Linked DNA regions of Medicago truncatula. The main gene of each other region encodes a partner of the protein of the gene in region 2 in a complex. Links are inferred from orthologs where the notes say so. Each region holds a gene or a part of one and is shown on either strand. Other genes may lie near its edges.

Region 1 (7,207 bases), on a different chromosome or scaffold from region 2:
GATAAAAAGGAAATTCAATGGAAGGGTCTTCCTCGTACTAGTCTGAATGATATTGAAGAGCTAAAGGTTTGCCCACAGTCTTGAGTTGTAACTTTTTTTGCTCCATGTGTCTTATGCTTTACCTGCAATGATATTCTGAGCTAATCCTAAAATTCAATGAAGGACCATTTTAATTGCTTAATTTGATTTAACAGACAGAGCGTCTTGGGCTCAGGAATAGAATTGAAAGGAAATCATCCTATTTGCAGGAGCTAGAGGAACAAGTAAGTCCATCCTACTCAGAATATATTTAATATGGGAATGAGATCCTTTGCTGCATTTGAAATTGCACTTGATTATAATTACTTCATTTTGTAGTGTTCAGTTTCTGTTTGCTAACTACTTGCATTGTTGCATCAAGTTTGTAGGTCTTCAGAACCTTGTTAAACGAAATGAACAATTATATAGCTCTGGAAATCCTCCCAGTGGAGGTGTATCTTTACCCTTTATTCTGGTACAGGTAAACCATCATCTCAACTTCCTCTATTGTTTTGTTTTGTTTCCCATAGGCTCCCTTCACTGGAGGTAATAATGTTTGACACTAAATGTGGGCACCTCTTCCAGCCGGGTTTTGCGTTATGGGAGACTAGCCTCTTCTGCTATACCCAACCTCAGTTGGTGCCTCTTTTGGTTATTTTGTCCAGTAGCAAATGTTGCCAATTTTTCCTTGGATCTTCAATTGTATGATTGACACCAATTCACTGCACAACATGTACTGAATTAGTTGACTTGAATTTTAAATTATTAAATTTATTGTGAGATGGTTTCTCATTCCAGTTGCTTAGTGAATTCATAGAAATACCTTTTTCCCGCTTTTGTGAGCATTTGTATTTTGTTTGAATTTGTCTACTGAATGTAACAGCTACACACACTATGAACTAGAGATATTTTATCAGCTCATTTGGTTAAGTTAACTTTACTCTGGTTGCCTTTTGGCTTTATATCTGCTCAATGCTATGTCGGGTCTATATGTTAAATTCTTGGCCACAGGAAAGTTTATAACTTGATAATTTTAATGAAGAATCTGCTTCTCCTGCTGGCGGATGTGATATGGCTCTTAGTGGTATTACCATTTGATTAATCTCATATCTCTGGCTTTTTAAAACTGTAGACACGTCCTCATGCAACTGTTGAAGTGGAAATATCAGAAGACATGCAGCTTGTTCATTTTGATTTTAATAGGTAAAGCTTCACTTTCCTTTGGCATTCTTTCTAAGTTATGGCGTGATTATCTAGGTCTGATGTTGTCTTATTCATTGTGAAGACTTCCTAATTAAGTATCGTCATAAAATCAGTAATTTGGAACTAGTGTCTCCTATTATGGCCAAATAGAGGCCACTAAAAGAATTTTCATGTAGAGTTTCTGGGAGGCTGTTATGGTGGCATTGCTTTTGTGTCTTTGTCGTGAGATGTACTGCCACTTCCTATTTATATTTACTCTCTTTTCTCTTTCTGCAGTACTCCTTTTGAGTTGCATGATGACAATTATGTGCTCAAGGCAATGGAATTTGGTGATAGAACACAGAGTGATATTGTTACACACAATGTTACAGATGGAGGGGAAGGTTCTAGCATGTCAGGCATGCATCAGTCACAGGTTCCTCCTTCAGCTTCAAGCGTGTCAACTAGACCTCCAACATCACCTCCACTCCCTGGAATATTAAAAGCAAGAGTCAAACAAGAGCATTGATCTGCAAGATTATGATATCGTCGTACCCTAATTAAGCATGTCTGTACATTCTGTAAAGAAATTTTCCCAATTAATATACCTTCGTGATTGTTAGCTATCAATACAGACAAGTCATTTGGTAGGTCAGCAGCAGAGTGGTTTGTTTGCCTCTTTATTGTTTAGGTTAGACTCTTTTACTACCATCCATCATTTACTACCTTAGCAGATTTTTTTTCTCCACATTTTTTGTGGTAACTTTTCCTGCATTGTAGCTAGAGAGATAAGAGATCATGGAATGGAGTCCAACAACATAGGATTAATTTCAGATTTCCCCGATTTACAGTGTAATTTGTAAAGTTTTTCAACTTATGTGGATATTAGTTGTGGTATTTTGACCAATGCATCTTGTTTTGTATCGTTTGATAGGGTCCTTGTGAGGCTCTCTGTGGTTTCTTTCAACTTCAATGGAAATTTTGTTACCTGATTTTTGGCTGGAACATCATTAACAGCATAATGGATTTAGGTGTTATTTAAAAAGGAAAATTATATTCACCACCTGTAAGTTATTCTTAAATAGCAAAAGCACCCCCTCTATTTTTAAGTGAACACTAACGTACCTTATATTTCTTCAAAATGACAATCACCTCTCTTCCACTTCCACCTTAACACTGTTTCTTTTTGATTAAATTCTCCACACTCTCTTTAATTGTATGAACCTTCTTTCTTTGCTGCTCCTCTTGCTAGTAAGTTCCCCTTTTATTCATGGAAAGTAAAATCTACCGAAACACAAATCAGTCTAACAAACAGGAACAACAAAAAGAAACAACATAAGCACATCAAAATATTGGTTGCAAGTGCAGCACTGCCTTTTATGTCGGTTTGTGTGTTTTATTTGATGACACTAATTTTGTCGAGGAACATATGGAGAACATAATTTTATGGTTTTCACAAAATTCCTGTTGGTATATATCTTTTTATGCGAAGGAAGTTATGACGTCTAACCTTAAGAAGTTTTCTCTCTGTATATGAAACTGTAGTCTAAAGTTGTTATCCTTAGGGGAGGTTTGTGTTTTTGGGAAACTATAACAGGTGTAATTGACATTTGAGTAAAACTTACGGGAAATCAATGTAATTTGCCCAATTTAAGTATGTTTGTCTAGAATCATTGTCTTCCACTGTGCCCTTGTTGTAGTGGCTGTTTGTCTAGATTATTAAATGTCAACTTCAAGGATGGGAATTTTCTGGTGAAAAAATGTCATACTTACGAATATATGAATGATATGCAAAATTTTCTGGTGAACATGTGTTTAGAAATGCAAATTCTCATCTTGATTCTCGAGGAACAAAAGTGACATACTTACAAGTTACAAGAAAGTATGAATGATATTTGTAGTTCTTGAGGGACCAGAATGTTCTTTTTTAAAACTCGGTATCCAATCCAAGAATCGTACCGCCAACTTGCGGGGGTTCCATTTAAAGTCAGAACAAGCTCTGTATGGACTTAGCCCACCGAAATTGGCACCATGGGATGAGGGGCCAGAATGTTATTTTTGCACTCTCGTGTGATACTTTGACTCAATCTTCATGTCACATTAGAATGTCCCTAAACGTGAGATTGTTCTGCTATATACAGATCAATTTATTGGAGACATAGTTGATGTTGAAGATCCGTCAAAAAAAAAATAATGTTGAAGCATATGGAAAATGTTGATATCATGCACTTTTTTTTTAATAAGTTGATATCATGCACATTACTTTGTATGAGTGGAAATTCTCGGTTTCTAATCCGCGATGTTATGATGAGATAACTTAATTTCTTTCACTGTGAACCGTGGTGGAACTTCTTGGTGATGGATGGGATCATATTTAGAATGATTTCCATATGTTAAACCATAAATTATATTTAAGTCCTCTTGAACGATAAGATGTGCTATCGGTGCTCGAGCATGAGAATTCTCCTCTATGAATTATATGTCTTTATTTAACTCCTCTTATGTGTGTAAAAATTCAGAATATATTGACATTATCATGAACTAATTGCAGTTAATCATTTGTTAAAGTTTCACTGGTTGTGACTTATTCTCCTCTTTTCTAGTAGTTGCAGAATATATATTGGTGCATACGATATTTAGACCATGTTTGAATGAACATGATATATAACTCCTTATAACACAATCTAAATTACTGTAAGTTTTTTCTAAGCTATAAGTTATTTTCCATAAACTATTAAGAATTTGGGAAAATAAGTGGAAATAACTTATGGACATGTCATAAGTTTTCCACAAATCTCTAAAACAAGTGTCTATGTTAGTAGATAATTCAAATCAACAAATTTATATAGAACAACAGTGTATGAGACATTTTTAAAGTTCAAGTATGAGGTGTAACTTTTATCACCTTCCATAAATGTGCGTTAAAATATAAACATCATCAATATATATTCGTTAATTTTGTCACTGGTACGAAATTTTCACCGACTTGACTAATCTCTACCAAAAAAACCTAGCTAGTTTTAGTAGTTCTCCTTTCTTTTCTAAACCATTTCTTTCCACTAATTATTTAATTAAGAGAGTATAATTTAGACAAAGATGTGATGTATTATAAAACATAGGGGGTACGGATAGTAATCTAGATGATGGGCCAAAGCATGGGATGACCCGTGAGGAAAAGACCGAAATCTCCCAATCAAGCGTGTCGTTGGTTGAAATTCAATCAATTTTCCATTTGATTCATTTCATTTCATTGATCTAAATCGAGGTTATTTCTTCTTTGTTGATTTGCGATTGAAATTAGGGTTCGTGAAATGGCATCGAGCATTCTGAAAAACCTCACAAGATTTTCTTCATCGACGGCAACGACCAATGCCACGAGAAGTTTCAGCCTCGTAACCTCTCAAATCAGCAACCATACCGCCAAATGGATGCAGGTATCCTTGCGATTCACCTCATACGTTTGATTTAGCATTGTTTCAATTCTAATTTGTTACATTGTTTATTTGATTTCATTGAATTTTTTGAAATGAGCGGAGAATAATGTGACTAGGTTAATAGTTCTCTTCCTAATCGGGATTTTTATATATTATTGATTAAATTTGCTGATATGAGGGAATTCTGTCGCAATGTATATAAATTATTGATATGCATTTGGTTTGTTACACATTAATGGATCCTGAGATTATATGAGAAAGGGTTTGATCCTTGTTGGCATATTAGTTTAATGAATTGGGGCCTGTTTGGATTGGCTTATTTTTGAGCTTATGCAAAACAATTTATGCAAATAAATAAGCTTTTATGTATTATTCATAAGCTTGCTAAGGTAGTTTATGAAAAAGCAGCTTATGAAGATACAATTTTTGTTAGTGAGAACTTATGAATTAACATAAAAGCTTATATATTTGCATAAGCTATTTTTCATAAGATAAAAAGTAAGCCAATCCAAATGGGCCCTTGGAAGGTTAAGATTGTTGGGGAAGCTGTTCTAGCGAACTTTGTATTTGGGAAGCTAGTTGTTTGTTACATGTTATTGCTCATTGTATACAACACTCAATCACACAACATTGTTTGAGCATAAGTGTATGGACCAGGGGAGAGATTAGAAGATGTGATAGAAAAGTTTGATGACAATTTGCCGCTTGTGAGGTTTTCTAGGTTACTTGTGTGGAAGAAATCTTCATTTTGAGGATGGAAACTTTAAGAAACAAAGTGAGGAGGTGTAAAGTTTGAACAGGTTTCCGCAACTGCTCTAACTGGATGCTGGAGTCAAGGGATTCCTGTTAGTGAATAGTTATATCCCTCACTCTAACTGATGCTTCAGGGATGCTTTTTCCTTCAATGTTTCTGAATTTGTTTAGTGATGTTCTGATGTTTTGGGGTTTCTCCCTTATTTATTCAAAAGCGAAATCAAAATACTTGTCATTTAATGCCAATGTTTTCTTTTTTTTGGCTCCAACTTCCAGTGTGTTGTGTTGTTTAAATTATTAGCTAGCTAAATAAATGTTTGGGTGAGCAAATGCAAAAGTGATTTTGAATGCAATTGATTGTGTAAAATTGAGTTTGAAGTGCAGTATTTATGTTTGGATGTTTTTACTCTGAAAGCAAGTTTGATGTAAAACCTTGTGTACAATTTTCAACTTAATACAAAAGCTACTTTTATCACTGCTAGCCAAACTGAGATCTGGAGACAAATAATTCTGGTGTGAAGTAACAAAAAATACCAGCATGTTTTCATGGAGAAAAATCATTTTTCATATCAACTGCATCCAAACATGCACTTAGCTCCACTACTGGAATTTTAAATCATTCATGCTTACTGATCTCTGCTCAAGAAATTGTGAAACTTACATTTGTTTCTTCTGTAATAGGATACAAGCAAGAAATCTCCAATGGAGCTGATCAATGAAGTGCCACCTATTAAGGTCGAAGGCAGGATAGTTGCTTGTGAAGGAGGTACATTACAAATTTTGCAAATTTCTATTCTCTCTTCTTCCTTGCATAAGCGAGAAAGAGATAAAGATCTGACAGGTCAAGTTTTGTTGATTATGTAGGAGGATTTAATTAATTTGGATATTGCTGTCTGTGATTTCAGATACTGATCCTGCCCTTGGACACCCAATTGAATATATATGCCTTGACTTGGCCAAGCCAGCTGTCTGCAAATATTGTGGCCTACGTTATGTTCAGGATCACCACCATTAGGAAATGCTGTCTACAAATCATCTGTTGTGTATTTAGGAAATTGCTGCTGAACATCATTAATGTGTTTTTGGTTACAATGTTCTCTGACCAAATCATATGATGTAACAAATGTACTTGTCTGTTACAATTTGCTAAATAAGAATATGACAAAATTGTTCATGTTACCATCTGATACAGATGGGGTCTTACATTGTTGTGTCTGTACTATGCTGAGCCAGTAATTTGTATGAAGCTGGAGGTATAACTTCATTGAGCGATCTTTTTTAAGTATTATTTCATAGCCTGCAAGCTCGAAGTCCATGATAATATTGCCATTCTCGAATCAAAGTAACAATTGAATGCATTCTTAGTGTATGTTTGGTTCAGGTGCGACAAATTCAATTTTTAATGAATGATTTTGTAAAATTGATTTTGGTCATTAGATTCAAAGTGAGTCCTGACAAAAGAGTAGCATGGCTGGTTTTATAAGATGAATTTAAGTATGTACGCACTCCTTTTTCTATTAAGTAAGGAAAACATAAATACTTCCATAGATGCTCTTTCCTCGGTGACCTTCTAGTCACATGACAACAACTTTATCAGTTGCACCAATGTTACCCCTCATTCCTTTTACTAAGAATACATAAATAAAATCTAGTAAATTCACTCCAATTCGATACGAAAGTTGTAGTTTTTATTATTTTTTTCATCATTCAAGTACCAAATAAGATCTATACTTAAAATATAAAGAAATTAAGGTATTGACCAGAAATCCATTGCATTATTTAATAATTATTTATATTACAAAAGAGTATCTGTTACATAT
Region 2 (7,611 bases):
GTTCTCTCTACAACTAGGTATTTTTTTGTCTAAATGTACTTTATAGATTTAGTAAACGGATATGCATTTCTTGGTCCTGAATTTAGGATATATCTGTAGTTTCTTATCGGTATTCTTTTCCAGGATTAGGCATGCTTGCTATCATTTGATGTTGTGATTCTACCCCTATAATTGAATTGAGGTTTACAACGTGCATAATTGGATAAGTACTGCATTTTTTTTATGGGAACACAACTGAACCATGTATGGAACGGAAAACTCCTCCATGTCCCGATCCCGAGTCCAACTTATGTTAAAATGGAACTTGGATGTATTGGGAAAAACCCAAGTCCCACATCGGATAGATAAGACTCTTGATATAGAGGAGGCAATCCTCACCTTACAAGCCGGTTTAGTAAGGATGAGTTAGGCCCCGAATTTCAACAGGATGTACCCCCAATTTGTTTCACTATTTATGCCTAACCACGATTCCCATAAAGTATAATCCATGTTTGTTTTCAGATTAGGATGATGTCTAAATATTTTTACCTTTTAAATTGAATATTTGATATTTCACGAAGCAGATAATAGCTGACAATGGTTGTATAAAATGTGATTTTGGCTAATTTCAAATCATGTGTTTATAAATATGTTGGATTGACTTTCTACACATACACGCTCACAGGTTCTCACACTCATGTGCATGCATATTTACCACACTTGGTAAAAATTTGGATTAACCCAGTTGATTACAGAATCCATACTGTTTCTAAGATTTATGTCATAATTGGCACCTTTGTTAAGTTTGCTTATGCGATGCATGTAGTTGGAGTAGACTTCATGCTTTTCATGTTTAGACTGTTCACGTGTTATATGCCCGCTTCCATTTTCCTGGTACTGCACTTGTGAACTTGACATGATTAAACGGCTAAGTTGATGCTCGGTAATTTAATATTGATGTAAAATCTTTTACAGGTACGTTCCAGCATATTCAACACGGTTATCATTTGAATCAGGAGTATGGAGTGTTTTGCCCCCAAATTCCTCAGACAAAATGGGGGTCGTAGATCCAGTCTGGACAGAAAGTAACTGGAATACAGTAGGCATTCGGATCTACACAGTCCAAATTGCTGCTTATGACCGGGTTGTTCTGTTTGGGGGAATGACTCTTACACTCTTGGCATACCTTGGAATAGCAGTTACAAGAACTTTCGTTGCCAAAGCAACAAAGAGGGATTGACACTATTAAATTTATGAAAGCTAACTACTAAATTTTGTGAAACTAGGGCAAAATTAAATAGGTTGATAGGAAAATTACTAGTTTCTGGAAAATTTGTAAGGATGTGAATTATTTAGGCCACATTCTTGTGCTTGTGAATTTATCTGCAACAAGACCATTTTTTATCACTTGTAGTTAAGTGTTAGGAAATGTAATGAAAACAAAAAGTAAAAAGCTTGGTGTGTTTGTGTTGTGTATTTCTGTAGTCCTAGTTAGTGAGCAGCAGCGTAATTTTTAATTTAATCCTTGTTAAATTATTAAAGTTCCAGTTAAGCTAATTGAATTGCGACACCTAAGTATAGTAGATGTAACGTTTAATTTGATTTTCTAAACATTAATCAATACATACTTTAGCAGAAATAGACATCAAATATACTACTAGATGTTACCCAATATTTCTCAACAAAAGAGGTTTCAATCGATCCGATATTTGATTTGAAATTAATTTTCATATATTGTCGGTGTTAAAGTTTTTATATTGGTAATCAATCACAAATCATTATTTTTATGGCGATTCAACAATTGTGATCGACTATTTGTGCATATGAATTAAATCTATTTTATTTTGATCAAACCATCTCAGTGTCTTGATTAAATTGAAAAGACTTAAGCTTATTAATAAGCCATTAGTTTCTTCTTTTGGTACAACGTTCTCCAAAGTTCTAGTGGACGTGCTTATTTTTTTCTTCATTGAAATCGAAAGGCTGAAAGCAGACTTGGAAATAGGCTTCATGTCCGAAGCATTTATATTGAAAGGCATGAAAGGTGACACGGTTACTCTATTAACGCCCTAAATACTACTCCCTCCATTCATTTTCTTTTGATGTTTTAGCTCTTGACACAAATTTTAAGGAGTAATTAAAGTATATAAACATTTGTGTGTTTTTTACTTAAATGTCCTTATTTATCATTAAATTCACATGTGATAAACCAAAGGTCACAAGTACTTTAATAGTTTATTGTGTTTTCCAACAAGGGTAAACTTGAGAAAACAATAATAAATTCACTAAAACATCAAAAGTTTTGGAATATAGTTGAAGTTCTAAAACATCAAAAGAAAAGGAATGGAGGGAGTATAAACTTAGTGTTAGTTGAAACCGATGAAGATTCAATAACGTTTGAAATTGAAACTGGTCACTATTTTCAATAATGTTTGGTTCCATTTTAGGTGAGAGTTTAGCAAAAGCTACGCTTTGCAACTTTATCACAAAGTCTTTTTCGTGAATTCAAACATAATTGATTTTGACATATTTGATTGCTTTTAAGTAGAATTAGTTTTTGCTCTGGATAATGATTTAAAGTTAAATTAAGAGCTTTTGCTTCAACAATATATATTTATTCTTAAATTTATTTCATATCGTGCTCGTAGTTTGTCACACGATTTAAGGAACTCTCATGTTGAGTTTGTCTATATATAAGTCAATGAGCTTGTCCATACACTTTTAAAGGTGACCCCATTTTTAGTTGGATTGAACGTTTCTCTTGATATCCCAAATCTCAACATTTTATTCAAGATACTACTATGAAAGAAATGCTTTGAGCTTTTTATCGCGAAAAACAAATATCACTTTACAATTTACATTCAGCTCATTTTTATTCGAAAACAATTTTACACGATCAATGCATTCAAAAATCAGTTGTTCTCACTACATAGCTAAACATACGAACTTGAGTCATTAAAGATCAATTGAGATAGGTTAGTTTAGCTTCTTCAACAAAAAAAAAGATCATCTGAGATGTGAGCTAGCCAAACGGCCAACCGAACGTTGAATATGATCAGTAACTTATTTAACTCTAGCAAACCATGAAACAGCTTGATGTTCTCAACCTGTAAAGATCATACATGAGTTTGATTATGCTCCCAAAAATCCTCACTTACATTGTGGGAATTGAAAGCCTTTTAACTATACTAACCCTTTATCAATGCGCGAACCTAGACTCTCTATTCGAGTGAGTTCCACTTCTCTTGAAGCGTAATATCCTTATAATTAAGCCAAAAAATTTATAGCATTATTTCTTAAAAATTGAAGATACCTTAACATTTAAAAAATATAGCTTCTCTTCACGTGTCTTTATACACTCTCAAATATATCATTTTCTCTACATGTAACTAAACAATTATTAAAAATTGATCTTCAATATTTTAGGGCATTGTTTAAGCATCTTAAAGTAATAACTTTTACATTTTTTTTTTTTATGGAAAAGTGCTTATAGCATTTCATTGATAATAAGAGTTTCAATACATTCGGGTAAATTAAAATAAACAACCGGACTAGCTAGTAACGTGACTTCTCTTGAAAGAGCATGGGCAACCTCGTTGGTTTGTCGCCTAACAAACTCTATCCTAGAGTTAGAAAACAGGGAGCTAAAAAAAAAAACGACAAGATGAAATAATACAACAAAATTTAGTAACTTTTACATTGAAAATATATAATTATGACTTTTATATGCGTTTGACTTGTATTTTTAAGACAATTTTCTTTTGAGAGTTCCTTAAACAATGTCCTTGGAAAATTTGTTAGCAAAACTCATACATTAATCAATCTAATAAAGTTTCAATTAGTGGTTTTGCGGGGTCAAAGCTAGATTTGAAGAGGGGGCAATAAATTTTAATGACTAGTTACAAAATATTTGAAGGAGTAGGGTCAAGTGCCCCTATTTTGGTCAAGTGACTATAGCTCACACAATTTAATTGTGGAGAAGTGGGGTGTCTGAGGTTCGAACCCCGGCCCCTGCATATAATATGCAATATCCTTACCAACTGAGTTAAGCTCACGGGATAAATGTCCCCCATTTAATATAGTGGATTTGTGCCCGTGTCCCGTGGACATTGCTTAAGGAATCCATAAATAAAAAATTTGTTTTGAAAGTATATAAGTTCTTATGTTTGATCAAATATTGATTACACTCCATTTTCTTAAAAATTTATTTGCTTTAGTTGTTTAACCAATATCTCTAGACATCGTCTTTACATTTTCCAAAAAGATTATGGGATGTGTTATTTGAACAACCACTTGATTGACAACTTATTGAACAACCATATATTTATAAAGAAAAAATAGGTATTGACACAAAAATCAAAGTAACAGCAAGATAAAGTAAAAACATATTGAGAATAGAGTGAAAAAGTTATCTCAAAAGTCGTGATAAAATGAACGTACAAATATCATTTCTTTATTTGATAAATGATATTTGTACAATCATTTTATGACAATTTTTTTTTCTTACTAATATTATATTTTTAATTTCTTTCCCGTCAATAGCTATAGAAGTTATGACATGAATGGTTATTCAAATAATACAACTCTTATATATCTACTTGCCTAAGAGCATGTGATAAACGGGTCCGAAGCAAACCCGAATCTGAAATCGGATCAATTCAACTATCTCACCCATAACTCCATACAAAATTCATTTCCTTCTTCCTTCACCTCTCCCACCTCACTCTCCCATCTTTTCTCAAATTCAACCTCCCATCTCCGATCCAACACCCTTCTTTCTCACAAACTCACAATCAATTGATTGAATCAAAATGGGGCTGGGTTTGTTAGCTTCCAAGACCCTCCGACCAACCACCACTCGCCTCCTCCTCCTCCGTTCAATCACCACCAAACCAGAACTCCGCAAACCCGAACCCGCCGCTCAACCCCAACCCGAACAGCCTCTCGTCGATCTCACTCCCCGTACACCCGTCGCTGGCGCTAGAGTCCATTTCACCAATCCCGATGACGCTATTGAGGTTTTCGTCGATGGTTATCCCGTTAAAATTCCAAAAGGATTCTCTGTTCTTCAAGCGTGTGAGGTTGCTGGTGTTGATATTCCTAGATTTTGTTATCATAGCAGACTTTCCATTGCTGGAAATTGTCGTATGTGTCTTGTTGAGGTTGAGAAATCTCCTAAGCCTGTTGCTTCTTGCGCCATGCCCGCTCTTCCTGGTTAGATTCTTCATTTTTTTTTTAATTTATTTATTTATTTTATGTTTCTGGATTTGCATTTCATTGATAATTTTTTGTATGTGTTTTGTTTATCTCAAAAAGTTTAATTTTTTATTTTTTTTATTTTGTTTCATGTGATGGATTGTTGGACGGTAAAGAATCAACATGAGAGTAAAATAAGCATAGCAAAGATTAGGATGTTGTGTTAGATGTGTGGTACAATTTAATTAAAAACACAATATTAGAGAGATAGAGTTGGGGTAGCCACCTATTGGAGAAAAGATGGTAGAAACTCGACTTAGGTGATTTGGGCTTGTAGAGAAAAGACCTGTAGATTTTGTAGTAAGGAGTGTAGATTAGATGGAGAATAGTCTGATCACTAGAAGCAAAGCTAACCTAGAAAGACTTTAAGAGAAACTATTGAGAAATATGTAGAGATTAATTAGTTGGGTAGAAATATGATACTCCCTCCGTTTCAAAATACATGTCCATTTTGGAGAAATTGCAGTAACCAAGAAACCAAATAAATTTTCTTATTTTTGATGAAAATATGTGTGTGTTTTCTATAATACCCTTAACCATTTATTATTTCTTTTTTTTTTTCTCTACAATAAATATGCAAGGGCATTATTGACAAGACAATAATTAATGTTGCATTGAAACTTGAAAGTGACAAGTATTGTGAAACAAAATTATTCTCTAAAATGGACAAGTATTATGAAACGGAGGGAGTATATGATAGAACATTATTGCGACGTTTGTTATTGTTTGTTGTTGTTTGAGTTTCATCTTGTTTGTGACTTGAGTGATCTTTTGATTAGTTCAAGGCTAAGGGTATTGAACTTGGTTGATGATTGTGTTGTTGCTTGTTGTTATTTTCAAATTTTTAGTTTGTTGAACGTGTTATGAATTTTGATACTAGTGAACCATCTATTACATTTCCTTTTAACCGTCTCGATGAAATTTCTGTTTTTATTTTTGATTTAGCTTTTGTCTGTTTATTTTTGCTGTTAGTTTTGTTCAAAAATAAAATCTAGTACTTTGTCTTTAAGTTTTTTTTGCATACGCTGATTTTCAGATTTTGCGTTACAACTTATACTTCTTTCTACTTTAATTTTTTAATTAGAGAGATATTTGATATAAAATTATCATATGTTTAGCTGGTTTGGGGATATCATCTATTTTTTTTTACCCGATCTTACTTTTAAATTCATTTGGTATTATGACACCGACACACATAAACGACCTTGATTTTGTTTAGTTGAGGTTTTTAACTATTTATTGTTTTGATTCTTGTTAAAAATGTAATATGATCATATGTTCAATTTAGGGATGAAAATCAAGACCGACACACCTATTGCCAAGAAAGCACGAGAAGGAGTGATGGAATTTTTATTGATGAATCATCCATTAGATTGCCCAATTTGTGATCAGGGTGGAGAGTGTGATCTTCAGGATCAGTCAATGGCATTTGGTTCTGATCGTGGTCGTTTCACTGATATGAAGAGATCTGTGGTGGATAAAAATCTTGGACCTTTGGTAAAGACTGTGATGACACGGTGCATTCAATGTACAAGGTTCATTTTTCCCTGCAAACTTGATTATCTTTACGTACACATTTTAATAACTATATCTTACCTTGGAAGCTAGAAATTTGTTGTGACTTTTAATGTCTAAAAGAAAGTATCAAGTGGTCTATTCATGTTAATAGAGTATGTTTATGATAATCTTGTAAGAATTAAGGACCTCATTGAGTTGCACACACACACACACACATATATATATATATATATATATATATATCTTTTTTATTTTTTTATTTTTTTAAATTAAGCAGTGGTCATTGTTACAGTATGATAGTTTGCGAGGGAACTTATGGGTCAACTTTTTCTGTATATGATTAAAATAATAATCTGAACTGATGCCTCTTCAAAAATAAAATAATCTGAACTGATGATTTAGTTTGGTTGTATGTTTTACTTACTCTCATGTCAGCTAAGGGCCAGCTAGGTTTCTTTTAATTTATGGTTAATGACATTTGGTAGCAATAGGCGTTGGCTATTTTGTAAAACCTAATCTTCAATATTTGGTAGCCTTCCTCTTTTTGTTGTCAATTAAATGTTATATGTATCGTGATTATTTTATCTGAGTTCCTTAATGGATCTTGTGGAATATCACTTTCTTCCCACAGGTGTGTTAGATTTGCATCAGAGGTTGCAGGGGTTCAGGATCTTGGCATGTTAGGTCGTGGTAGTGGAGAAGAGATTGGAACATATGTTGAAAAACTCATGACAAGTGAACTCTCTGGAAATGTAATAGATATCTGCCCTGTAGGAGCACTCACTTCAAAACCTTTTGCATTTAAAGCCCGGAATTGGGAGTTGAAGAATACAGAGACCATTGATGTTACTGATGCTG
Region 3 (6,854 bases), on a different chromosome or scaffold from region 2:
GAGAAGAAAGACAAAGGAACAAGTGCTAGAGAGCTACAAAAATGTAACGATGAAACTGTGATAAGAGTAACAAGTAGCAACACATGATGAATATTGAGAAGCTTACCTCTATCCACTTTCTTTTTTTTTTCAGTGATTCAGGTAGCAAAAAAATTCGTCTCCATTATTCTGATTTTGTCTCATATATTTATACCCAAAAATTAGTATAAAGTAGCTAGGAGGAAGAGGACAAAAATGCAAAGTTGGTGATTTTCAGAAAATGTAGAGCAATGAGCAAAGGTACAACGGCTCAAAAAGGGAAAAGAAAAGAGCAATTGAAAAAAGATAAATTGGGAGGAGCCCTCAAGAGTCAAGAGGAAGGATACGATGCATATACTTTGCCATAGTTTTTTATCTTTGTTTTTTCTTTCTCAACTAGTGAGACAGTTTTTCTGTATTTTGTTTTCATTTTATATCTTTCCTATTTTTGTCATTTTTATTTTTATATTATAACTCTGTTTTATCATGAGATTATTATTAATACAAGAAACAGAGTATTTTGAATTTTAATTTGTGACCTTGAGCTTGTAATCCAAAATCTTGTATTTTTATTGTACTTAAGTTGAATCAAAACAAGAGACTTGTATAATAAAATTAATCCAATGAATGTTATTTATTTTATGACTGAAATCTAATGAGTGTTATTATTTATCAATTTTTATAAGAGAACAAAATAGATTAATATAAAAAAATGAACAAAGTTAGGGTATTACAAACTTGAAATAAACTAAAAATAACAGCAAAACAAAAGCAAAGAAACACAACGATAAAAACACTAGCAAATACATTAGATCTTAAACTGGTTGGCGATGAAGTGACCAAAATACAAAGATATCATAGTGACTTTCGATGGGGGCGTTAGACGACCAATTTTGCAAGTGAGGTCGCAATCAGTGGGGAAAGATTTAGAGGCCGTGATGCCTAAGGCATGTTTACATAGGCATAAGTGAATTCTTTTGTTGGTACGAGAACCTTTAAGACCAAGGAAAAACTTGAGATTACCTACGTCTTTGATGCAAAAGGATGAATAGAAAAGACTTTTAATAACATTGATTTATGTGGAGTTCATTGTGAGAACAATGTCGTCTACGTAAACTAGCAGAATAGTGAAGGAATGAGAAGATGATTTGATTAACAAGGAGTGATCATATTCTGAATGATGGTATCCAATAATGATAATTGCAGAAGACAATTTAATAAACCATTGCCTACTTGCTTGACATAGACCAAAAGGGGGTTTGTTGAGACAACATGCTTGATTAGAAGAGGTAGGCATGAGACCTGATGCCAACTCCATCCAATTGTTGAAGAATCCTTCCTTTAGCAACTACAATGGAAAGTAAAAGACATACAATAGTTATTTTAGCAACAAGTGAGAAGGTATCAAGAGAGTTTACCCCTTCTTGTCGAGTGTAGTCTTTGACCATAAGGAATGTTTTAAAGCGTTCTATAGTGCCATTAACTTTATGTTTGATACGATACTCCCATTTGCAACCAATCACAACTTTATCTTTAGATAAGGCGGTTAGTGACCAAGCATTTTTAGTTGTAATGGCTCGAAGTTTGTTGGTCATGGCATTAATCCCTTTTTGTAATTTGATAGCCTACTTATAGGTTTGCGTTCAATAGCATTGGAAATGGAAAATGTGTAATGAAGATTAGATAGAAATAATTTATGATAAGATAGTACAAAGTGTAAAAGATACATCAAATTGGGTGTATAAGAGGATAGTTGAGTTTCACGATGACAATGAAAATCTTAGAGACAGTTAAGAGCCTTTATAGTTTTAGTGGATCGTCTGAGTTTGGTTGTGTCAAAAGTTAGTTTTTGGTAAGGATTGAGAATATTTTACGATGAAAGGTCACAAGTTATGGTAGGTCTGAAGTTCAAGGATTAGAGATGGGTTTAGTGTAATTTGTTTTGGTGCATTATGCAGAATCAACAAGGTCATTGAACAGAAAAATTGAATAATCTTGGATTTGTACAATCAATACTAAGAAAAATAATCAATAATTTCAACATAAGCAAAAGTAGATTCATGAAAAAATAGCATTTCTTGTAATGAAAACTTATCTAGTAGATAGATCAAAGACAAGATAACCTTTTGTACCAAATTTGAATCTCAAGAAGATCCATTTTATTGCTCGTGGATCAATTTTAGTACAATGTTGTTCCAAGGTAGAAACAGAAAAGTCAGAGGTTTATCATACACCATTTCAAAAGGAGTCTGATTTTGCAAAATAGGAATGGGTAATATATTGATTAGATAAACAACATGAGTCATTGCATAAAGATCATAAAGCAATTCGAAAGGAGTTTTATGTTATCATAGTCGTTGTCTTTCGCGGATGAACTACTCCGTTGTTTTTTTTATTTTTCTTGATTAAGACCATTTTCTTCTTGTGGGCCTTCATATTATACATGGTGTTATCTAGTGTTTGTTCTTTATGACAATGTCATCGAGGCGGTGACGCGTCATGGTTTTTGGGACCTTCTACTTCGTGTCTTCTTGGAGATGGAAAACACCGATAAAGGAAACTTTTGTATCAGTTGACTTGCCTATTGAATGGTGAATTTCTAGTTTATGGATCCACCATGTTAGACATTAGAGTCACCATGTTAGACATTTTGTAACCGGCATAATAATGGGATCCTAATGCATTGGTAAATCTTACTGAGGGCTCCACAGTGGGCGTCAATGTTCACGCGTGAACACACAAAATGGATCATCAAAGTCGATGATGTAATCTTCACATCTCTAGTCATACGCTCCTTCTTCAGGCGAGGAAGGTGTACTTGCAAAGACACCATGATGCCAAAGTAAGATAAGACATACCTTGACACGAATATGAAAACGGATAACAAGTCATCATACTTAGGGGTGAACCCCTTATTTATATATTATATGCACTCATATACACTTAATCTTGTTACTATTTTCACTCTAGTGATTGTTGAGGTCGTTACTAGATATGTGTTGTTTGTCACCGTAAAAAATTATCAAGATAGCCACTTACACATATTTATTTGATATACGCTCCTTGGTGTTAGAAGCATGTCAGTGCTTATAAACTCCTTATATGTTGGTGTGTTAGTTTTTTGGGATGACATTGGGGTTGTTTTCAGTTTCTACACTATGTCATTTTGTTATGCTAAAATGGACACATCATAAATTCTCTTCATTCATACTTCACAATCGGGTGTATTTTCTCTTTTTAAAGTCGATTTCCTTAGTGGATAATCCATAATGTTTTAGTTTGTCTTCTAAGGCCCGTATCATTACAAGTTATATATGACATATTACACTTGTTGTGCATTCCAATGATTTTAAGGCCAGCAAAGACCGACCTAGAACTTTAGAAAAAGATGAATAATTAATTGATCATGAAATATCATATTTTAGTTAAATTTAGAATCACTAACATATTTGTTAGTTATATACTTTTTTATGTTATTTATTATCAACCTATTAACAATACACAATCCTTCATTCATACAAAGACGTTCTTTTAATATGCTCCCTTCAGACTCTATTATAAACAAAAAATGATTTTTTAGATTTTTTGAATAACTAATATATTCGGTTTGTAATATAAATCAAATATATTAGTTATACAAGGAATTTAAAAAGTGAAATGTTGATCGGAGAGAGTTATATTATGGTTATAGTAATTTTAATATATTATAATAATGTTTAATATATATTATTGCTACCATTTAAAATTTTAAAAAGCACTCTTAAGAAAGGGAAAATTTGTAAAATGTAAAAGTAAAAGGGCCAAGCTAAAAATTTATCGGAACAAAAGCGAACGAGAAAGGCTCGGGAGGTTCATTTTGTCTTTGGCACCATCCTCCGCAGAATCAAAATTCCCATCAAACGATGACGAACATCCTGCTACGCACGGCGAGTCGCGGTGGTTCCCTACGCGCCACCCTCATCCGCCGGTTCTCCACTGATGCATTGGTTGAGTCCAAACCCGGCGAGATCGGTTTGGTTTCTGGAATCCCACAAGAACACCTTCGTAGAAGGGTATTATGCTTTAAATTTTTCGTTTTTTTTTTTTCTTCCGGTTTTTCATTCCCCAATTTTATTATATTTGTTTCATTATTATGGTAGAATAAAAGTTTTTATTTTTTATATGTAGTATAATTGTTTTAGATTCAATTGAAGTTTTGTTTTGTTGAAATTTTGCAAAATAATTGATGCATCATTAGATCCTATGTAATGGACTTAGCTTAACCGGCAATGCCGATATTGTCAGGCTGGACACCTTCACCCGGGTTCCAAGCCGGGACTTTGCAGTTGTCTGCGTGAGTTTTAGGTGGTGTTTATCACTTCATTTAAAGACAAAAAAATAATTGACCTGTTAAACACCTGTTAACAATTGAAATTCAATTAGGCGTTTAGCTTATACTTGCAATGTGATGGCAGGTTTTGATTTACTCACCTGCTAGAACTGCTGGTCAACAAGGATCTGGGAATGTTGGAAGATGGAGGATCAACTTCTTATCAACCCAGAAGTAAATTCTCTCTGTTTATCATTTTTCTTTCACTGCTTGTTTAGATATTGTTTTACTAGTTTTAGAACTCGAATTATTTATTATTTTTCCCTAACAAGTTTGATGTTTCTGCGCTGGATATCTGTTGTCTGGATTAGGATTCTCTCATGTAGGAAAAACACTAGGAAATAATGTGGAATATCTATATCATTGAAATATAATGGGTGAAGAGTTTTGAAATTTATAATAATGAAGAGTTGAGATTTGAAACTTAAGAAAATTTGAGAGAAAAAAAATGGAGAGGATGCATTTCCCTGTTGTCCATATATCTCGATTTTTGACAAATTTCTTATCGAAATTCATTCATAAAAGCGGAACTTATGCTATCATTGACATTACATTTCCTGCACATGTGGAAATTTTCAGAGTTTTAATCACTATGTTATTTTACATATGTTATGATTCTTCCTGGGCATCTCTAAGTAGTTTAAGGAGTTGCTAGTTGTTTCAGTATAATATCCTGAATTTATACTTTAATTCTTTAACTGATCTTATTGTTAAATTTGTAATACCTAATAATAGTTTAATTTGTACTGTGAACTAATATGTCTATAGGTGGGAAAATCCACTGATGGGGTGGACATCCACCGGAGACCCATATTCCCATGTTGGTGATTCTGCGTTGGATTTTGATACTGAAGAAGCGGCAAAGGAATTTGCAGAGAGACATGGTTGGGAATACGTGGTATGTTTTTGCCATTCAAACATAGGTCACATAAAATTTTATGTTTTTCTAAGCCTTCAAAGTGCTCCAGTTATGATTCATAATTTCATACTTGTGCTTATTAAAGTAAACCATTATCAGATGGATTGGTTCACCTTCTCTTGCTCATGTCTCGCCTAGGATATTAACTTAAAATCACAATCTATAGAATGAGGGTTTCAATATTGTCCGAGCAGTCTAACTTACAAGAATCAGCATATCTTGCTTCTCAACTGATATGAAGAGTTTATCATTGAACTGTGGCTACTGTGTTTGTTAGTCATTTAATTTCGTTTAAAATTTCAAGTATTAGGCTGCTAAATAAAAAAGTTCAATTTATAAGTCTATTATTTTCTGCATGAGATGAAGCCAGATGCGCAAGCCTGCATCTGTAACAGATATGGCCAGATTGCATCTGGAATAGAAACAGATGAGGGATAGACTTGACCTGAGATGGGTTTAAACTACTTCCAGGACTAGGACTGGTAAGCTCAAGCTGCATCTAGAACATAAGTTGGGAGTTGGTTTGCATTCAAATAACGACAAGGTAGAGCATGTCTTGGACAAAGACTGAGCTCATTCTGCATCTAGGACTAGGATGAGACTACAGCACTTATGAAACAAAAGCCGAGGTTAGAGAGTGCCTGGGACGAGGATTTAAGCTTGAGACCTTATAACTTTCTCATGTCAATGCTATGCTAGTAATAGAAAAGACAGAAATGCTAAATACAAACGCGCAGACACTCACTTTTTAGCACACGCCTGTATACACTGCGACGACCTTATAACTTGTTAACTGGCTTAACCAGTTGGTGTATTTTTAATTTTTGTATGACTTTGTTCCTGGAAAAAAGAGGCCAACGGTTGCTCGGGGTCTTTAGTCATCCATGTGTGACTGCAGGTCCTTGGACTCTAGATCCCCACCTTTCTAGGTTCAACTTCTTTCCCATTCTATTCCAAAAATAAAATAAAAAATCAACTGGGTTATTGCTTCAGCAGAGCTACAACCCATAACCATAACTCCTTTAAAAACTACCAACCCCACCTAAGATCCTCACTACCCAAATCAAATCCAATCCATGAAGAAGCCCCACCATCACCAGGAGAGGAATCCACGAAAGAAACACCCATCTAAGAAATTCGAAACAATGATTCCCATTGTGGAAGTAGCAGAGGTTGTTTCTTCAGCAGGTCCTTGTACTCTTAAGCCACTCAAAGATTTTCAATTTATGAAACCATCGGAATTGATGCAAATTGGCTTTGTCTTTGGTTTATGCAACCTGTTAATTTTTTTGTTAATTTTATAATTATTTGATCTTACGTTGCAAATTTGAACTTGAGTGGTTGTTGATGGTGGTTTTAATTAGAAAGAATGGTGGATAGTGGTGGTGGTTGGATGGAGAAGACCCTTCAAATTGCTACTGCTTCGTAACTGTGAAATCCAAAGTAAAAAAAATAAAAATGTTATGCGAAACTGAGTAACAAGTGGCCAAATAAATTGTTTGAAATATGGATGACGTGGTCCAATTAATAAGAGTGTGATCACGAGAG
Region 4 (7,471 bases), on a different chromosome or scaffold from region 2:
AATCAGAAGTGTCGGTGTAACCGAGCTTAACGACACTCCATTGGCCTCACCTTTTATACTTTGTTACAGCAACACCCTTGATGTATACAGCACCAGCCATACCTAACACAGTCACAATCATAAATCGTAAGAAACTCGTAAGCTAGGGTTTCAAAAGGTAAGAGTGAGAGGGAGAGAGAGAGAGAGAGAGAGAGAGATAGAGAGTACCGAATTGAAAGGAAGGAAAAGGAGGAGAATCAAGCTGAAGCCACATATTCTTCCCCTTCCGGCGAGCTGCAACAATCTTCTTCCCAACAACGGAAGCTTCGAACTCTTCGCGAGAGACACCGTCGATGACTTTGTTATCATCGGCGACGATGCATTTGGTTATCTTCTTTCCGATACAGTTCTCTTCCACCGCTCTTCTCGCCGCCTCTACCTCCGGTAGCTCCGGCATTATGCTCGGTCGTGACTGTGATGGAGTTTTCCCGCGTTGCTTCTCTGTTCTTTCAAGCACGATATTCTATGTTATACCGTTACGATTCAACATGCGTTTAAATCGTGTCCGTTCATAGCGGTTTTGCTGCGGGACAAACAACGGCTGTGATTCCACGCCCATTAATTATTTTCTAATTTTTTTCAATTTTTTTTTTTATATATATTTCACCAAATTGAATAAATGCAAATGAAATGGAAATATTCTAACACCTTATTTGATCCATATTATTTTTTGGGAAATGCTAACCGGTGCCCCCGGGTCCTGGTTAAGGATAATAAAAAGGGAAATTATATATTAATTATTGCATTGAAAAGGGAAATTATTACCATAAAATGAAGTTTTGTTGACTTATTTATGGATTAATTAAACAATTTTCAATGCAATAATTAACATATAATTTCCTTTTTATTATCCTTAACCAGTGCCCCGGGAGTACCGGTTAGCATTTCCCTTATTTTTAAGCATAGTGGATTAATGGTGCAAGCTAGGATACTCCAAAATGGAGACATATTGCATCGGATACCAATGTTTCATGGATACTTTTGGATATGTATCCACGGAGTATCGGATACCAATGCTTCATGAATGCTTTTGTGAAAATGTATCAAGAATTCTAATGGTATGAGGTAAAAATTATTTTTTTAATTCTCAACAAAAACAAAAAAACTTATATTTATTAACGATGTAGTTAGACTTAGTTGAAAATATTTTGTTCGTTCAAGACATTGTACCTCCAACTTTCAAAAAAGGGAAAACAATGATGGAAATACGCCTTCATATATCTTGTTTCTTCTAATAAAACATATGAACAAATTATGAAAAAATATACACAAAGCACGTAGATAATAAGAAATTGGTTGAAAAAATACATGTTTTAATAATCAGTTAAAAACAACTATTATTCAAGAAAGTAAAATGCCTTCGTAAAAAGTTCCAACATTGTTTGTTGAAAACCACGTAACTAATCATAAATCAGTTGAAAACATAAATATGAATAATAAGTTGAAAACAACTCTTATTTAAGAAAGCAAAACATTTGAGTTTTAGTTTCAACATTATTTAAGATAAACAAATTTAAAGATATTTACCTCAAAAAAAAATTTCATCATTTTCAACCTGTAAAATTAACACAATGAGAAAGGGAGAAAAGTGAGAGAACAGAGAGAAAGAGAAAGACAAAGGGGTTTATCAACACAAAACGTAAATGTTTAAATTTATATTTGACAAGGGGTTTCGTAAAAATGTTTTTCCATTGACGATCATTATCAATGAACTTAATTTCATAAATACCATTCTAAACAGAGTCTCTTATCTAATGATGTTTAATTTCAATATGCTTTGTCGCTAGTGTAAAATAGGTTTTTTGGAAAATCAGATAACATATGTTTTTTCATAGAAATGTTACTCTCATTGGTTTGGTAACCTTCAAGTTGATATTTCATCCATAGAAGTTATGTGACATACCTTGTTGACAAGATGTATTTTGCTTATGTAGTAGATAGGGCAATTGTGCTTTGCCTCTTGATTTAATATAAGCATAAACTTTCGCCAATAAATTGACAGATACCACTAGTGTTTTTTCTTTTAATTTTATCTCCAACATAGTTAGCATTATATAATTAATATAGTAACTCGTATTCAAATGATTTTTTTGCAAAATAAACCAATGTTAGCAGTAAGATATATCTAAAGATTAGCTTAGCTGAAGTTAAGTGAGATTATTTCGGTATACCTTTTGATCTACATTGTCACTTGACTCATATTTACAAAGTGATCAAACGGAATAATTAGTGTGTGTGGATGGCTTACGAATTCTAACATATCATAATATTCATTAACCATTTACTCAACATAATTAACAATATACTATTACATTATGTAATCCATCAAAACAAAAATAAAATAAAATTATGTAATGCATCTAAAATGGCAAGCTTTGAGGTCAAACTAACACAACTCTAAAAAAAATGTACCCAACAATTAAAAGTGTAAGTTTACTACACATTTGTTGGGGGATTCAAGAGGAGTTTTCAAAAATTTAATCCTTTTAGCGAAACAATCCCAATAACGAATATTGATTAAACCATTAATCACAATTCAAATGGAAACCTAAACACAGTTAAAGATTCATGTGTTGAAGTGATGATGGGAAACGATGCAAGATGGTCATGAGCCTCGCACAAACGACATCGCCTCTACTCAATCCACATGAGCACAAATTGAAACATTGTGATATCCGTTCCATGCGAGGGATTATGACTATTAAGTTTTACATGCTTAAGTAGTGCATGCTCTTCTTCTATTTATAAAGAACAAGTCACCAAACCCTTGATGCTTATTAGATTGGGTTTAACCCAAAGTAAGTCTAATATCAATTAAATTAATTCATATTTAATTAATTAAATTTCAACCCTCTTTTTTGAACAAAAGTATATATAATTAAATAAATATGATTAATTAAATATCATTTAACATAATCATTGAACTTTATACATGCGTCTCTGTCGATTCTTATAACGTTAGTAATATCATCAAATGTTATATTTAATATCATAAACAACGAGCGATATTAGACAACATATTACTAATGTTATATTTAACGAGCAAAAAGACGTGCACTCATGTGGCCGTCTTTCCGTTTTTTATTGTTTTAACACGTGTAGATTATGAACTATATTTTATAAATTTTTTGCGTGTGAATTGCAAACGATATTTTATATAGATTTTTTTATATAGATTAAAATTATAAGTATAGATATTTGTGATTTTCAAATGTAACAAACTCAACAAATCATATTTACATTTTTCAATGACAACAATAATATAACAAATATAACAAAAATTCTTATCTTTTTAAATAACACCAACAATATGATATAGATTAAAATTATAAGCATAAATATCTATATCTATACTATATATAAAAAATAGCCCCTTTTGACCTTTTTGGGATGACATTTTCTTTTTCTCATATTACCCCAAACTTTAAATACAAATAACACTTATAATAAATAGATAATAGTAAATTCAAATACTTAAAGAGTGTAAAAAATTCAATATTTATTGTCTACGAAATATCAAATTTTTCCTTATCTTTTTTTTGTTGTCAAGTAGCCTAGTGGCTAGAGCTTACACAATTAAATTATGGAGAAGTGGAGTGTCCGGGGTTCGAACCTCGGCCCCTGCATATAATATGCAATATCCCTACCAACTGAGCTAAGCTCACGAGGATTTTTCCTTATCCTTTATTCCTTTAAAAAAGATAATTGATGCAGTGAATTCAAAATAAATAAAAAATGTAACAAACACGATATGAATATATGTCCAAATTTTCTTTATGCTTTAAAAAGTGAAACAAACTAGACCGAACCTATATAAGATTTTGGACTGACTTTTTCATTATCCGAATTATACTATAAAATAATTTTTTCTTTAATAATGATTGTTGTCGGTGTCATTACAAAAATAAGAGTTTAAATTATATTTTGTTATTATATTTTTGATCTCATTGAAATAGGTAAACAATGCTAGTTTGATTTGTTATAATTTAAAAGCAACAATAATTTATATTTATACTTTTAATCAAAATCAAAATTTCATAAAAAAATATCGCTCATAATTTTCAAACTTTAACGCGATAAAAAGAACGAAAAGACGAATACTTGTATTCGTCTTTTCACCAGTTATTATATAAATTTTGTTTAAGAGTATAATTAGAATAACAAAAATCAGCCCAGAATCTTTCTAAAACCTCGTATATAGTATAAATATCTAAAGAAACATATTACTACTACCTAAGTGACGAAAATGTCATACAAACCAAAATGATCGGCCAACAATCACAAGAGTTTAACCCTGGTACATGCCCATGACGAGATTCGAAGTTTTGAACCCAAACAAAATGTCGCGCAATCTCATCCATACATGTGTCGACATAAAATTGTTATCATCGAACGGTCATCAAGGTGCCACATCTCTACATTCTCTTACACTACACCCTTCTTCACTACTCTCTCTCTCTCTCTCTCTCTCTCTCTCTCCCCCTCCCTCCGATCCATTGTTTGGTTTCACCTTGTTCCTCCCAAAATGCTAGCACGCCTCGCCGCAAATCGTCTCAACCAGATCCGTCAAACTTTCCATCAGGTTTTCTTTTCAATCTCTCACTTCTATTTCTTCTTCGTTTTTATCTTCAATTTGTTTGATTTTTTTTCTTCCGTGTTTTCCCTTTTTCGCAGCCATCAAGGGCTTTCTCAACCGCTCTCAATTACGTAAGTGTTCTTCAAATTATCCTTTTCTTAGTTTTCATTTTCAATGTTGTGATTGTTGATTGTATCAATTTTTGAATTGGGTTGCAGCACCTTGACTCTCCGGACAATAATCCCAATCTTCCATGGGAATTCAATGATGCTAACAAAGCAAAGGTAATTTTTTTATTGTTTTCAAATTCTAAAATTTCAAACTTGGAATGTGTGATGATTTATCAATATGTAGCTGTAATTCAGCTCATTACCCTTTACTTTGATTATTGATGATTAATTGAGTTTAACATTTAGAGTTAAAAGCTAATTAGAGCAGAAAATAATGCATAAGAGGGTGTAGAATTTATGAATATATATGCTTTACTGATTGGTTTAATCAATAATGTTTCTATGATTTTTGGATTATTAGTTCCGTATTGATATTATGTATGTGATCCTGTTTAGTTTCTAGGATGTGTTTTTAAGATTCTAAAGTTCCAATGATTTTAATCTCTGTTAATTATAGGTTAAGGAGATTATATCTCACTATCCATCCAACTATAAGCAATCTGCAGTGATTCCTCTGCTGGATCTTGCCCAGCAGCAGCATGGAGGTTGGCTTCCTGTTTCTGCAATGGATGCGGTATGTTGAACTCTTTCGTGAAATATTCTTATTAAGTCCAGATAAGATAAGATCAGAATGATAGCTTTGTATAGAGAGCTGGGGGTAGCATCTGTTGTAAAAAAGATTAAAGATTATTGCCTTCGGTAGTTGGGGCATGTTTGGAGAAGACCTGTAAATATAGCAAAGAGGAACAAAGGGCAGATTAGATACTGTATAACAGGTAGAAGTGAAGGAAGATCATAGTATTCAACTATAGGCTAGACTATTTAAAGGGGTTTATACATTTGTTTTTTGGAATGACAAATGTCAGTGTTATGTTTTGTGTGGGGATAGAACTCTTAACCACCTTATCACTCCACTCCTTAACTCCACCACGGTCTCACCCCACCACCAAGCCTACCTTATATCCACTGAGTTTAGATTTGAATGGTAGTTCATGGCAGCCTTTTTTAAGATGGTTCCCATTAGATTAGTCAATAGCGCGCTATAGAGGCGTAGCAACAAGAAACCGCTATGGTGGGTGTCGTAACGGCACGGTTCCAGATAGTGCCCGCTGTAGCTGCTATATTGGTTTGCAGTAGCGGATCCTGACCTGCTATTGGATTTTAGCAGGAAAATTACAAATTGGCCTTAATTTTAAAACTATGTTATGAGACCCATGGTATTGTCTTCTATCCTATGTTTGAATTATGTTGCTTTCAGTGTATTTTATTTCTTGCAATGTGTTTGTAGTTTATTGTTGTTGGTGTGTTAATTTTTCATTTTATCATATTATAAAACTTTTGGTATGCTGTGTACGCGTGTAATACTTTTATAACAGCCACCATATTTCTGTTATAGGCATCAACGCTATCCAATAAACTTAAATTTTTATAATAGATTTTTAATTTGCTGTCACAACTCACAAACCACCATTTATAGCATCCATTGATTTGTGTAGCAGACCTTTCACAATTGAAAAAGGCTTTGGTTATTATTGCTGGCGATATCTAGAAGACTAACCATTCTATGTTTTAAGTCTATGCATGCATCAAGGTTTGGTTGTTTATGTACTCAACACTCTTTTCCTTAAAAAAAAAAATGTACTCAACATTCTTCTATATAAGTAGTCACTATCATTTATGTTAAGGCCCCAATGTGAATTTAGGCTCAAATGGGCTGATGCCCCATCAGCTGCCCAAGCCCACGGCGTAGGGATATTTTTTAGGAAATATAAGAAGAGCAAGGAAGAGAATGCTGACGTGGTAGAGAGTGGGGGTGGACTAGTTGTGATTAATTTTGTTATATGGATACAAAGGGGAGTGAACGGGTATCTTTGAAATCATTGGTGAGTTTATGAAGCACGGATACGGATACGTACACCAGACACGACACGGACACTGACACCGCTAATAATTTGAGAAAATCGCATAATTCAGTGTAATTATATGTGTCGGTGTCGTGTTGGTGTTGGACACGACATGTGTCCGACATCGGGACACACCTAATTCGAGGAGTGTCCGTGCTTCATAAAGAAGCAGAGAGTATTCTTCTATGTAGCATGCTCTGGGTAGTGTGAATGTGATTCCACTGATAGTATTTTCCATTTCATAAATAATACTTGATACGTTCTCCATTATTTCCCTTTATTCAGTGACAGTGTTTTATCCATTAATTTCTTAATTTTCTGTTCTAGTTCCTATCAGATCAATTTAATTGAGTTTTGCTTGTAATTTCCTATTGCTATGGTACACCACCGAAAGTCCTAAATTTACATATTGTTTGTAAACTGAATAATAAATTTCTTAATAATGGTAGAAGCTATTTAAATCCTTTATTAACAAACAGTTTTGTGAATCATTCAGGTGGCTAAGGTTATAGAGGTTGCCCCTATTCGAGTATATGAGGTTGCCACATTTTACTCAATGTTCAATAGATCTAAGGTGAAAGTCATTTCTTCTGCGTTGCTTTTATTTCTGCTAATTCACAGTAGTATAGGCCAAAACTTACTGGATCAACCGCCTGCTTTGAATTTTCAGGTTGGCAAATATCATTTATTGGTCTGTGGAACAACACCTTGTATGATACGAGGTTCACGGGAAATTGAAGCAGCTTTATTGAAACACTTGGGAGTGAAACGAAATGGTTAGT

The links.
Region 1: the proteins of NADH dehydrogenase [ubiquinone] iron-sulfur protein 1, mitochondrial (region 2) and NADH dehydrogenase [ubiquinone] iron-sulfur protein 6, mitochondrial are in contact, whole or in part, in a cryo-EM structure (PDB 8BED), measured with the Arabidopsis thaliana proteins. The link is inferred for Medicago truncatula from reciprocal best matches to the Arabidopsis thaliana genes EMB1467 and AT3G03070. Residues at the interface, in NP_568550.1 of Arabidopsis thaliana: Pro167, Leu168, Asp169, Cys170, Pro171, Ile172, Met198, Lys199, Arg200, Ser201, Val202, Val203, Asp204, Val214; in NP_566191.1 of Arabidopsis thaliana: Ile69, Ala71, Pro83, Ile84, Glu85, Phe86, Ile87, Cys88, Asp90, Leu91, Lys98, Tyr99.
Region 3: the proteins of NADH dehydrogenase [ubiquinone] iron-sulfur protein 1, mitochondrial (region 2) and NADH dehydrogenase [ubiquinone] iron-sulfur protein 4, mitochondrial are in contact, whole or in part, in a cryo-EM structure (PDB 7AR8), measured with the Arabidopsis thaliana proteins. The link is inferred for Medicago truncatula from reciprocal best matches to the Arabidopsis thaliana genes EMB1467 and FRO1. Residues at the interface, in NP_568550.1 of Arabidopsis thaliana: Gly61, Gly62, Ala63, Arg64, Val65, His66, Lys87, Gly88, Phe89, Thr90, Gln93, Glu96, Val97, Asp101, Arg104, Tyr107, His108, Ser109, Leu111, Ser112, Ile113, Ala135, Gln175, Glu178, Cys179, Asp180, Asp183, Asp266, Lys288, Ala289; in NP_201560.1 of Arabidopsis thaliana: Ile55, Tyr57, Ser58, Pro59, Ala60, Arg61, Thr62, Ala63, Thr64, Gln65, Ser66, Ser68, Leu71, Val79, Thr81, Leu82, Lys83, Glu85, Thr92, Asp103, Lys126, Lys128, Lys129, Asn131, Thr132, Pro133, Leu134, Leu135, Lys136, Val137.
Region 4: the proteins of NADH dehydrogenase [ubiquinone] iron-sulfur protein 1, mitochondrial (region 2) and NADH dehydrogenase [ubiquinone] flavoprotein 2, mitochondrial are in contact, whole or in part, in a cryo-EM structure (PDB 8BED), measured with the Arabidopsis thaliana proteins. The link is inferred for Medicago truncatula from reciprocal best matches to the Arabidopsis thaliana genes EMB1467 and AT4G02580. Residues at the interface, in NP_568550.1 of Arabidopsis thaliana: Val203, Lys205, Val225, Ser229, Gln235, Asp236, Leu237, Gly238, Ile239, Leu240, Gly241, Arg242, Gly245, Glu246, Glu247, Gly249, Thr250, Tyr251, Val252, Glu253; in NP_567244.1 of Arabidopsis thaliana: Asn33, Tyr34, His35, Leu36, Val90, Met93, Ala103, Ile105, Arg106, Tyr108, Glu109, Thr112, Phe113, Tyr114, Ser115, Arg119.

What each region holds. Positions count from the first base shown.
Region 1 is NC_053045.1:37,849,133-37,856,339, forward strand, and holds NADH dehydrogenase [ubiquinone] iron-sulfur protein 6, mitochondrial, read left to right. Parts: upstream 1-4,424; 5' UTR 4,425-4,511; coding exon 4,512-4,634; intron 4,635-6,068; coding exon 6,069-6,153; intron 6,154-6,292; coding exon 6,293-6,402; 3' UTR 6,403-6,690; downstream 6,691-7,207. Other genes in the region: transcription factor-like protein DPB, read left to right, coding at 1-66, 195-263, 401-499, 1,151-1,221, 1,498-1,729. UniProt on the Arabidopsis thaliana protein: Accessory subunit of the mitochondrial membrane respiratory chain NADH dehydrogenase (Complex I), that is believed not to be involved in catalysis. Complex I functions in the transfer of electrons from NADH to the respiratory chain.
Region 2 is NC_053044.1:32,876,075-32,883,685, forward strand, and holds the start of NADH dehydrogenase [ubiquinone] iron-sulfur protein 1, mitochondrial, read left to right. Parts: upstream 1-4,594; 5' UTR 4,595-4,790; coding exon 4,791-5,193; intron 5,194-6,523; coding exon 6,524-6,770; intron 6,771-7,384; coding exon 7,385-7,611. Other genes in the region: nicastrin, read left to right, coding at 1-17, 955-1,219.
Region 3 is NC_053045.1:47,953,455-47,960,308, forward strand, and holds the start of NADH dehydrogenase [ubiquinone] iron-sulfur protein 4, mitochondrial, read left to right. Parts: upstream 1-3,833; 5' UTR 3,834-3,920; coding exon 3,921-4,070; intron 4,071-4,472; coding exon 4,473-4,561; intron 4,562-5,155; coding exon 5,156-5,285; intron 5,286-6,854.
Region 4 is NC_053043.1:51,113,715-51,121,185, forward strand, and holds the start of NADH dehydrogenase [ubiquinone] flavoprotein 2, mitochondrial, read left to right. Parts: upstream 1-4,463; 5' UTR 4,464-4,564; coding exon 4,565-4,621; intron 4,622-4,713; coding exon 4,714-4,746; intron 4,747-4,833; coding exon 4,834-4,899; intron 4,900-5,242; coding exon 5,243-5,359; intron 5,360-7,185; coding exon 7,186-7,263; intron 7,264-7,359; coding exon 7,360-7,465; intron 7,466-7,471. Other genes in the region: formamidopyrimidine-DNA glycosylase, read right to left, coding at 51-102, 208-436. UniProt on the Arabidopsis thaliana protein: Core subunit of the mitochondrial membrane respiratory chain NADH dehydrogenase (Complex I) that is believed to belong to the minimal assembly required for catalysis. Complex I functions in the transfer of electrons from NADH to the respiratory chain.